Neodiprion lecontei: one gene and its partner. The protein of the gene in region 1 interacts with the protein of each later gene in a biochemical or structural test. Links are inferred from orthologs where the notes say so. Each region holds a gene or a part of one and is shown in the gene's direction. Other genes may lie near its edges. The genes, in order: nuclear pore complex protein Nup155 and mRNA export factor Gle1.

What was found.
Region 2: the proteins of nuclear pore complex protein Nup155 (region 1) and mRNA export factor Gle1 form a complex in vitro, tested with the Homo sapiens proteins (2 studies listed by BioGRID). The link is inferred for Neodiprion lecontei from reciprocal best matches to the Homo sapiens genes NUP155 and GLE1.

The regions. Positions count from the first base shown.
Region 1 is NC_060265.1:27,705,931-27,711,152, reverse strand, and holds the start of nuclear pore complex protein Nup155, read left to right. Parts: upstream 1-2,013; 5' UTR 2,014-2,653; exon of another isoform or gene 2,654-2,781; intron 2,782-3,097; 5' UTR 3,098-3,139; coding exon 3,140-3,260; intron 3,261-3,354; coding exon 3,355-3,492; intron 3,493-3,596; coding exon 3,597-3,693; intron 3,694-3,757; coding exon 3,758-3,921; intron 3,922-4,002; coding exon 4,003-4,148; intron 4,149-4,223; coding exon 4,224-4,489; intron 4,490-4,592; coding exon 4,593-4,843; intron 4,844-4,917; coding exon 4,918-5,171; intron 5,172-5,222. Other genes in the region: transferrin, read left to right, coding at 1-69, 280-515, 610-889, 979-1,040, 1,133-1,401, 1,550-1,642.
Region 2 is NC_060264.1:4,404,165-4,410,257, forward strand, and holds mRNA export factor Gle1, read left to right. Parts: upstream 1-1,805; 5' UTR 1,806-2,100; coding exon 2,101-2,115; intron 2,116-2,212; coding exon 2,213-2,512; intron 2,513-2,586; coding exon 2,587-3,045; intron 3,046-3,227; coding exon 3,228-3,318; intron 3,319-3,380; coding exon 3,381-3,641; intron 3,642-3,723; coding exon 3,724-4,028; intron 4,029-4,099; coding exon 4,100-4,478; intron 4,479-4,568; coding exon 4,569-4,822; 3' UTR 4,823-5,457; downstream 5,458-6,093. Other genes in the region: clustered mitochondria protein homolog, read right to left, coding at 1,329-1,425; uncharacterized protein LOC107227322, read right to left, coding at 5,458-5,627, 6,035-6,093. UniProt on the Homo sapiens protein: Required for the export of mRNAs containing poly(A) tails from the nucleus into the cytoplasm. May be involved in the terminal step of the mRNA transport through the nuclear pore complex (NPC).

The DNA.
Region 1 (5,222 bases):
CAAATGGTGTGTTTGGTCCACGGAAGCTCTCGACAAGTGCAATGCCTTCGCCAGAGCAACGTTCTCCAGGTAATTAAAATGTGCTATTGCTGGAATTGAAGTTCATTTTACAGTAACTATACCATGATTAAGTTAAATTACTTTCGTTTATAGTCGATGTGCAATATATTAATTGGATTTTAATCTTGCAATTATACCTAGTATGCCGATTAGAAATTTGAGAATTCGTATTTGGTAATTGCCTGAGATATTTGCGTCATAATTTATGCCTCCCGACAGGGATGTGAGACCCAAGCTGGAATGTCTCCTTGAGAAGGACGTGGATACGTGTCTGAAGTCAGTTAAAGACGGCAAAGCCGACATAGTCTCAATCGATGGTGGTTTGGTGGACAAGGCAATGAAAGAGTACGACGCGAAACCTATAATTGCTGAAAAGTACGGCGAAGGTGCAACGAAAGAAAGTGAAAGACCGGCGGTTGCCGTCGTGAAGAAGACGAGCTCCATCAACAACTTGGGTATGGATATGTTTGATCATACCGTTGTTACGATACGTCTCAACAACGTGACATAGTCACGACAGTAATTTTTTCAAACTTTTTTAACGTTTAGTCGACCTGAAGGGCAAAAAATCCTGCCACAACGGCTACAAGGGCAGTTTTGCTGGATGGTCGGCTCCCGTTCACGCGCTGAAGGCAGCCAAGCAGATCACAAACCCTGACGATTTGGCGGAATTCTTTTCCGGAAGTTGCGCACCCGGAGCACCTCAGCAATCGAAACTCTGCTCGCAGTGTGCCGGAAACATCGCTTCCGGCTCCGACAAGATCATCCAAGAGACTAAGTGTAAGCCCATAGAAGCTGAAGCCTTCAACGGCGATCTGGGAGCACTGAGGTACGCCATTGCATATTACGGGTGGTTTATCCACTTCGCGATTATTTCACTTTTTTGATATTCACTGGTCTCTTATTTACTTTACACAGGTGTCTCATTGCCGGAAACGGAGATGTCGCCTTCGTTTCTTACACGGCGCTGTTTCAACTTGGTGAGAATTTCGTTCGCTTCGAGGGTTTTTACCGCGGAACTTGAGTGTTTGCATACTCGCTCGAATCGATCATTTTTCATTTGATCTTTCAGATAAACTTGGCACGCCCGACCAAATTCCAAAGGGATCGGACTTCGAGCTCCTCTGTGCAAATGGTGGTCGCGCCCCGATTGAAGATGGTAAAAGGTGCAATCTCGGTGTCGAACCCCCGCGAGTCATCGTCATCTCTGGTAGTAGGAGTGAAAATGCTCGCCGTGAATTCATCCATGGAATTCTAGACGCTAGCTCTACCTACGCTGAAAGCCCTGAGCTCTTTTCACTTTTCGGAAACTGGGATGGCAAATCCAATCTCATTTTCAAGGTGATTTGATATTGGTCTCACAGACATCAGTGATCGGATATGTGAAAGAAAGAAGTCATTTCACTTCTTTTGAAATTCGGGTTTGAAAACCGATGTTTTTTCACATTCTACGGAGTTGGAGATTATTTTATACAATTTTTATTTACAGGACGATGCCATCGACCTGAAATCCGTTGACGACACCTGGGAATCGTGGGGCACCTGGGCAACGACTCAACAGGAATACAACATCGCCTCGTAAGGAATCGGCGCATAACAGAAGCTGGCCAAGGAATGAATATTTACAACTAATCGTATAAACGCATTAAGCTATAAGTGTTGTAACATAATATGTAAGCCGCCACTCGTATCGAAATTTTTATATGACTTATACGAATAAGATACCTTTATATATAATTTAAATATAAAACGTATCAGACTCGAAATTGTTGTCACTAAAATACATCTTGTGTGATCATCTGATCAGAGACTTCAGCATTCCCTTATTTATTACCGAAAAATTGCCGCTGTATTTGTATCGATACTTTTCATTTATTTAAACTTACCAAATGATTAGAATCCGATGCATGAGTTTCTGGTAGTGAGACATTATACACGCACTAATCAACTTATTCTATTTTTCTATAAGCATGAAAGCTAGCGAAAGTTCATATGTTACATAAATTAGATATTATAATACATCACGTTTTTTGTTCATGTATTGTTTTCATGGAACCGTTAACCGAAGATATATACTTCAGTCAACGATGCAGCTACATGTTTCAGTAGAACTGTGTTTAAACTAAGTCTCTTTCTTCTAAGTACATACATCATCACTCTTCTTAACTTTAAGTGGGTCTGAATCTTTCAAAATTTATTAATGTTTCAGTACACAATGCGAAATTGAAATCTCCTCCTCTAAGCTGGTATGCACGCCATTGGCTGATGATAATGTGCTGTGACGTGATTGGCTAACCGCCGAACCAGCTGTAGCGGCGTGAGTGAAGAAGCGGCCATTGTGCATGGCTCCCTCGTGCGTGAGGTTAGGCTGTGAATTAAGCAACGATTATAACGGATTACGAATTGTGATATCTATTGGTTGTGTGAGATCATTGAATATCTGTGAATAATTCATAATTAATCGATCGTCATATCTCCGCAACACGTATGGAAAAATCAAATTTACATGCATTTGCGTTCGATCACTGTACTTACCCGCCAAAGCCGGCACCAACACTACTTTAGGGTGAAACTATAAACAACGGTTTCTTAAGTGAGTAACAACAGCATTTGACCTATAAAGGTTTCTCAGTTGAACTAGTAAACGATTATACTTTAAAATAATTCAAAAGTCTTTTATTATTCTTGTCCGAGCTACCGTTCTGACGACATGCGACGAAGGTAACCTCAAATGTCAATTCCAAGTACTTGATTCCATTCGTTCAGCGGTCTAGATGAATTAACTTATTAATTTGAATAAATTATTATTATAACTGATCCACTTCTATTGTCTTCGTCTTAATTTATTAATCACCTCTGGTTCCTAATTCAATTGAACTTCTAATTTATTTCACACACCAAATATTTTCTGAATAACAATCAATTGTCGCTTCGAGAATGTAAACGGTCTGCCTCTATTCCGGTTATATATCAAAATCACCTGTGTAGTTGCAATGCTCATGGATACATTGTTCAATACAAATTTAATTTATTTCAGATATAAACAATAGCAGCAATAACAGCACTTAATTGTATAACAATGGAGCCGCTGAAGATCCACCTGGATGCATTGGAGATGGCTGGAAAAATGCTCGACAAACACATCACAGCCGATAGCAATTTTCCGTCCCTAATAAATCTTATGCACTACAACGCACAAGGTGACTATAGCAAAGTAATAAGTACGCAGAAGACCTCATTATTAGTTATAGTAATAAACAAATAGTAATCGAAAATCACTTTATCTGTTTCCAGGTGGTCCAACAGTCAGTGGTCTTGACGATCATGATTATCCCAATTTGAGCGGCACTTCCATCAGCTTTTCAACCATTAATCAGATGAGAATGCATGGCAAAGTTCCGTTGCCATCTGAAGTGATGGAGCACTTCGGCCGTATCCTTCAAAAAATAACAATGAATATTTTATAGGCGTGGGATTTACAATTTCATAGGTTTTGACTTTCAATATGCCTGTTTCACCCTTAGTAAAAAATATAGATATGCAATGTCATTGTATGATGGGCTTATTCACCGATATCTCGAAGGCCTGGCTAACAATCGATAGTGATATTTATGTCTGGTCTTACGAAAATGGGTAAGAAAAATTTTTTATCAAGCTTATCTAGTTCATCCTATTTGACGCAAGTACAAAATTCCAGGGCTGACGTGGCTTATTTTGACGGGCTCAATGAGACAATAATAAGTGTTGGGTTGGTCAAACCGAAACCAGGAATATTTCAGAGTTATGTCAAATATTTATTGATTCTGACCACAACGATCGAAATATCTGTACTCGGTGTGACATTTTCGGATACCAATGATGGTAATTGTCGAACTTTTTTTCTTTCTTAAACACACTTCACATGTCAAATAGTTTACTCAACTTATCTACATTCTACTCCAGGAACACCGGGAGAAATGCAGCTTGTACCTGAGCCAATATTCATAGTCCCTACTGATGGAATAGCTATCACAACAATAGCTAATACCAATAGTGGTCGAATATTTCTTGGTGGCAGAAATGGCTCACTTTACGAGATATATTACCAGGTGACCGATAGACCATTCTTAGTGTGTAGCCATATGTTCTTCCATCTATTTTTCAATACTGCTTTATTCACATAGGCTGAGAGCTCATGGTTCGGTAAGCGTTGCAAAAAAATAAACCACTCCGAAGGTCCGCTATCCTTTTTGGTACCATCGTTTGTCACAGTTGCCTTGTCTGAAGAGGAAGCAATTGTTCAAATATCTGTTGACGATAGTAGAAACATTTTATACACCCTCGGTGATAAGGGTACCATAGCTGTCTGGGATATAGACAAAGGAAATGCATCAAAAATTACATCTGTATCGCAAGCTTCGCTGGTCCAAAATGCTGTCCATGTTGTAAAGTAAGATTCTTTACTTTTATAATTTTAAAAACCTTCGTGTCTATTACTCTTAAAGTTGGTGGATGCATCATTAAGTATTTCACGATATTATTCGACATTGCAGAACACTGGATAGCAACAATTTCCGACCTCTTGTCAGCATATCTGCCCTAGCGGAATCAGAATCCATCCATCTTAATTTAGTTGCCGTTGCAGCAACCGGGACGCGCTTTTATTTGACCTGCAGTTCAATTGCAAATCCGTCTAGTAGACCACATTGTCTCCAACTGATACACGTCAGACTTCCGCCAGGATATGCAGCTAATGCTCCCATTTCCAGACCAAGAAAAGTTCAAATGGCACACTATAGAAAAGGTGAATGAAATTTCCTGTGCCAGGTTAGATACCGCATTTTTATTCTTCATGTCACTATTATATTTCATATTCAGGCACCCTTCTTCTAATCTGCGGTGGAGATACAGAAACGGCATGGTGCTTGAGTAACGATGCTTACCCATTCACTAACTACTTGGCTGAAACGCAGAGTGTTTTGCCATTAGATAGCCCTGCTTGGGCCATGGCTGAGATCCCTGGAGAAACAGTTGTTCATATTGAGAAACAAACTAATCCACACGGAGATCCTCCTCTACTAGTCAGGCAGCACATGGAGGCACCTCGTAAATTCATATTTTTAACAGCACAGGTATTTCGCTCAATCTATTCCATGCACGCGTAAGTATAATAAATTTATGCA
Region 2 (6,093 bases), on another chromosome or scaffold:
TTTCTCCGACAAATTTGCAACTAAATGACAAGTTGATCTACGCTATTTTATACGCATACATTCGGCTGTTCGGAAAATAATTTTTCATTTACGAAAATTATCGGAATATCGAGTGAGAAAAGAGTGAGAGAGAAAAACGTGAAATATCTTAATTACAATGAATATACCAATGAAAATAGCCTTTTTGCAGCCAGATTCTGGTCGTAGCGAAGAAACCACATGCATGGGCTTTCGTATTCACCGAAACAACGAATCGTGGCCTCGAGACTCTCGGTTCAACTCTCGGTAACTACGCACCGCTCTATGGGACATTGATTTCTCAGTTTGCATACTCTTTGAGTTTGCCATGTACAAGCAAATTCGTACGGCATACCAATTTCAAGGAATAAGAAAAACCTGTTTCATTTGATTTCGGCAACGCATTGATTGTAGTGGTCGGTGAAAAATCGCTGTTTATGGGACGGTGTACTTTCTGCCACAAAAATGTTAATGATCAGAATAGCATTGAATAATTTTTAGAATAAAAAACACGTCTGTCTGCAGAGTAAGCGGCGTCAATTTTCGAATCACGAAAACTCGCTTTAAAATCAATTAGAATACCATAGGAACAAATGAAAACCATTATCCATCCGAGATTAGTGTTACGGGTATTTATTGTGAAATAGACTGAGCTTAGAGGTATTTACTTTTGTGTCATTGCGAAGAGGACAACACTCCGTGTTTCGATCCGAAATGCAAAGGAGAGGAAAATAAAAGAAGTCAGGGGAAATACACGGAGTGAACGGAACGATAAATTCGTTACTAATGATGATGCAATTTGAGGGAAGGGGCGGACCAGTTAGAAGCGGTAATGTAGATCTGGACGCGAATGACGGGAAAAGCGAGAGTGTCTGTTATGTTAATAAATTCAGTTTATTATCAATCACGTATAAAATTGAACGCGATCGATCGATTCGATAACACGAGAAGGGCGCGGGCCTGTCTATGGGCGTCCATCCTCACGTTCGAAAATCAAAATATTTCGTCTGCAGCGTCGGCTGCTGTTCGAGGTAGGAGTCGCCGCCGCAATCGGCGCGCTCACATGACCCCCGCACTGGCTCGTTCGTAATTCGAGTTACATAACCACCCGGCTAATTTCATGATATAACTACGTTGTTAAACTGCAACAAAACGCACGGGGTGCACTAACGTAGTTCGAGAATCACTGCGTTACGTAACGGTTAGCGTTAAATGTTGGATTCGGAGGTTGGACCCGGTTGAGACTGGCTGAGGTAAAATTGAAAAAAAAAAAAAAAGACGAGGAAAACGTATCAACATTTTTCGCTCACCCTTCGCGGTCGATTCCTCCTTCACGTTCCCATTCACTATCGGAATCTTTTCTGTCCCGTTATCACCGGTCGTCTCCACCTGCGAGCCGAGAGCCATTATTTTTACAATTTTACAACCAACCCTGCACTCTCACACCTTTCCTCCAACACAACCGCACAAATACAGGAAATTATTTTTCACGGGGACCGTCGTGCTCTGCTCCGCTCCGCTGTTGCTGCACGTGCGTTTCGACCAGAGTACAAAGTCTAGTGCTTTCCATTGGCGCATTCTCCTCGTTCCATGTTCACATTACTTCTAGATCTTTGTGGCAATTCGTTTCTTCAAGGTCAGCGTTGATTGGACGGCCTTCGAGCTGCCACTCTTATAAAATAAAATTGTCACTTGATCTAGGGTCTTTTCAAATATCACTAGAGAATAAAAACGCAGCCGTGAACCGGTGGCGACATCTGACACAAGCAAGACACATTAACATCAGTTGGGTACATTTCCAAACTAACAGTGTGTGTGGTTGTTATGTTGCTAGCGTTGTCAAATATTTAACCTATTGTATTTATTAACCTACAATGTATAAAATATAGTTTTGTTGAAACATGTGCTACTGATATTATGAAATAAACATCAGCTGACTATGGGGAACGTATTGATACCCCTGCGGCCAGATTGTTCAAAAATTTGATAGAATAATGAAACGGAGGACAAACGACTCCTAATTGACGTATTTATATAACTTTCTTTGGACTGTACAACGATATAACACATTTTGCAAGAACAATGAATGGCGAAACGGTATGAATAATAGTTAATGAATTTTTGAGTTGAAAATTGTTAATAAACCATTTATACGTTAACAAACTTATGATGCATATATAATTCTTATTTTTAGCAGCATAACATGAATGACATTACCTCAGACTTTACGTGTCTCAAAGTATCCGCTTTGTGTAAGGCGTCTCGCATATCAGACGCTGTTCGGCACGTCACGATTGGTCCAGACTCTGTCTTGATTCCTGACTATCATGTGGACAACGAGAACATTGAAAATGAGCCGAACAACGGTATAACCAAAGAGGTTAGACCACAGCCGAGGTCACAAAGTCCAAAAATATCAACCAGAAGCGGTATAACTTTTTCGATAAAGAAAATCTTGCTCGAAAATGAGGTGCAACGAAGAGAAGAAGTCAAAGTAAGAAGCTTACAGCAAATTTCCTTTACACTTTTGGCCAAGAAACAAAAACCAACTTTGCATTCATTTTTCAGCAAAACATGCAACGCCGCCTTCAGAGTATGATGAGGGCGGAAGCTGAACTGCGAGAACAAATGGCTGTGATTCGGAACACGATGATAGCTGACAGAGAGCATCAGGAAAGTCTAGAGAAGGATGAAATTGCCAGGCTTGAGGCTGAGGAGGAACACGTGGCTCAACAAAATGAAATTAAAAGGAAACATGAACAGCAATTACATGCACAGAGGATATTGGAGCGGAAAGAGAAATTGGAACGGGAAGTTGAGGAACAGAGAATAAGGAATCAAGAAAAGCAAGTACTGTTTGAGAAAATGCTCCCGCTCCATGCAAGCTTTACGTCGACTTACCAGAACATCAGCACGGTATCAAAGTCCTGCAAGGACAGGAATATCCTTGGACCTGCCTTTGCACCGCATTCAGTCAAGCTGAAGGAGCTCAGCAAACGCATGGAAGGACTGCTCGAGCGTGCTAAAGTGAGGTTTTACTGTAGTGTAATTGCAGGATGCTTACTTGATCTGTCTTTTCTATTTTTGGACGTTTTGTGCTTCTTATATTCAATTTACCAATTTCTTTTCACAAACAGTCGAGTAAGAGCCCTGTAATTGCTCTATAATTTGGGACATTGACGACTGGTAACTAATGGTAACTGTTTTAGTCAGGCGAATTGACGGAAGAAGATGTTAACACTGCAGAGAGTCTTGCAAAACATAGTGAGAGTATCTTGAATACCTTCAAGCAAGAAATAGGTTAGTAGATACTAATATCTAAGTACAAACTGTTTCACATATTTTACCTCCTATGTTTTCAGATCGAATAAATGCTACCTACGATGCAGAAGTAGCTCGCAGGGAAGAGGAAGTGAGACAAGCCCAAGCGCAGATGCAATTAATGGCTTCTAAGGCTCAGGAAGCTGCAGTTCAACCTGATCAAAGTCCAAGTGAGACCAGTATTGAAAGTACTGGTGTCGAGGGCCAAATCACAGCAAATGCGTCAGAGGAGAATAGGGCACCAGAGACTACAAATCAGACACATTTATCAGTGGAATCAGTCGTCCCAGAGTCTAAAACAGGTGAGTGATGTAATTGCTATTTCATGTGGATAGCAGCTTTCGGTAAGAAATCACCTTGCTAATCTTTGTGTTTCATTTTCAGACGATCTTCTTGAGTTTGTTGACAAGGTTTCACTGCATACTTACCTCGACAGTCAACAGCTACTAGAAAATCATAAAATCATGTGCTCGCCTCTAACGCAATCGGAGAGTACAAAGAAGTTCCGGTTTGAGTGTCAAAAAGCAATAAATATACCGGTGAATGCGATTTCCGGTGTTAGCAGAGAACATCTTATGGACAAATACGAAAAGCTGCATAATTTGCTGGGCGGAAAGCCGCCGACTAATGCAAACCAACATCCGCAAGGCATACAGTTTTGCAAGCATACCTTGGCCAAGAAATTTGTGGTACGTTAAATATGTCGATGAAAATTTACCTTCTTTTTCATTGCACTACAACTTTCCACATATCTAAACAGAATCAAGGCGAAGCTCTAGTCTCCAGCAAACCGGAAATGGCATTTTCCGTTGCAGCAGTTATCGTGGCTCTCTGGAACGACTATCCGGACTTCGGTGAACTACTTTTGGCCTATTTCTACAAAACGTGCCCTTACTTAGTTCCGATATTCCTTCCTCAACAACAGGGCCAGTCTAACGAGGACTACTACAAATCATTGGGCTACAAATATTCAGAAGATGGAACCGTCGAACGGCAGGACAAATTCTTGAAGAGAATGTCTGGCTTGATGAGGCTTTATGCGGCTCTGACTGTAACCAGGCAGCGAAAGCTCGTCACGAGTTCACATCCCCATGGCTTACAAAACGCTTGGAGATGGTTGGCTGCTATTTTGAACATCGGTAAATGTTATTCAACGTTTTACCTGACTGTATTACTGAAAGTGATGTTTTCTTTGAATATTTGTTTTCAAATACGATTTTCACTTACAGAACCACGACCTGACATCTGTGCAACCTTGATACTCGACATGCTTGAAGTGACTGGACACGCGTTGTGGAAAACTTATCCAAAGCAATTCCCAAAGCTGCTGGCCTTACTTATCACCCAATATTATCCTCGTATGCATAGCATCGGAGGTACAGCCGGTGGTCCTCTTGCTCGGTTGGAACAGTTTTTGAAAAATTCTTTGACCAAAGGCTCTATACCACCCCCCGATGGTCAGCTGCCCCAAAATTTTTGGTAGCGGAGTAATTTTCCGAAAGTTTTATCACGGTGGAATCACGCGTCGTTGTTCGAAATTTCCGATGCTTCAACTAGAGATTGTTATTGTGCCGCTGCTTTTGTTGATTAAAAATCACAAAAAATTTTGGATTCTGTACATCGAATACCGTTAATAATCGCGTCACAGCCGTCGCGTGCATAATACTTGACCATAACGTGTTATGTGAATTATCATGTTAGCTCATTGTCGTGAGATTCTTTTTAGTGTAAATTAATTAGGCGGTTCATACAAGATTGACGAAAGAGAAGACGCGTCGAATTTGTAACAAATTTTTCCAATTTATTCAATTAGATAAGTTTCTTTTTTTTTTTTGATACGAAGTTTAAGCCACGAGTATACGTACACGTAATGAAGAATATGTTCGATTTAATATCATCCGTCAATTAAAATTTAACTGTGCTTTCTTCGATTTGATCGCACAGAAGGGCGAGGATGTTGGTCCGTCTTTTGCTGTATAACGTACCATGTACTTAATATAACAATGACAACCTCAAGAATGTGTGATATTGAACAAAGAGATTAAAACAACAAGTACAATGTAAAATATTGAAATCAAACACTACTACAATCCTTCGATCAACAAATTATCATCAAATCTAATAGTAACGAACGGTCGTTGGCACATCCTCTGCGCCTTCGTCGGTCATGTAGGCGTCCAAGGAATTCGACGTAAAGCCGATGACTCCGTAGGGAGAAAATCGTTCTGTCCAATGTTCGTTTTTCATCGCGGAGAGCAAGTACGATGATATTTTCTTCCTCAGTTCAGCTGTGAAGAAAAAATCGGAGCTAGATATGTGAAATAAGTGTAAAATGGGTGAAAGACAGGTGGCTATCAAGTAAGCGTTCGAAACCGCAGAGCGAGCCTATAATTTAATTCCTGTTATTATAGGACGAACGGCGCTTTACGTGTCCGAGGACGCGACGATGACTCGTCATTGCGTCAGCAGTGACGTAACCACGTGTCAAGGCGGCCTGGTGGGCCCTGATGTTGTCTTTTTATTATTATGATCCTCTTTTTTTAGGCGTTAGTCAAGATCTCAAGTCATCCGGTCAGCTTCATTCGATTTACTATTCAATTATGCCGCAACGGTGAATTACGCAAGCAATTTCGGGGATGCTGAGAAGCGGTTCGTCTAGCTGGCTCTGCGTGCATCGTTCAAACAAACCTCATACCTGAAACTGACTTATTGACGTAGATCGCGTACGGAGGCAACGGGCCAAGGCTCCCCAAG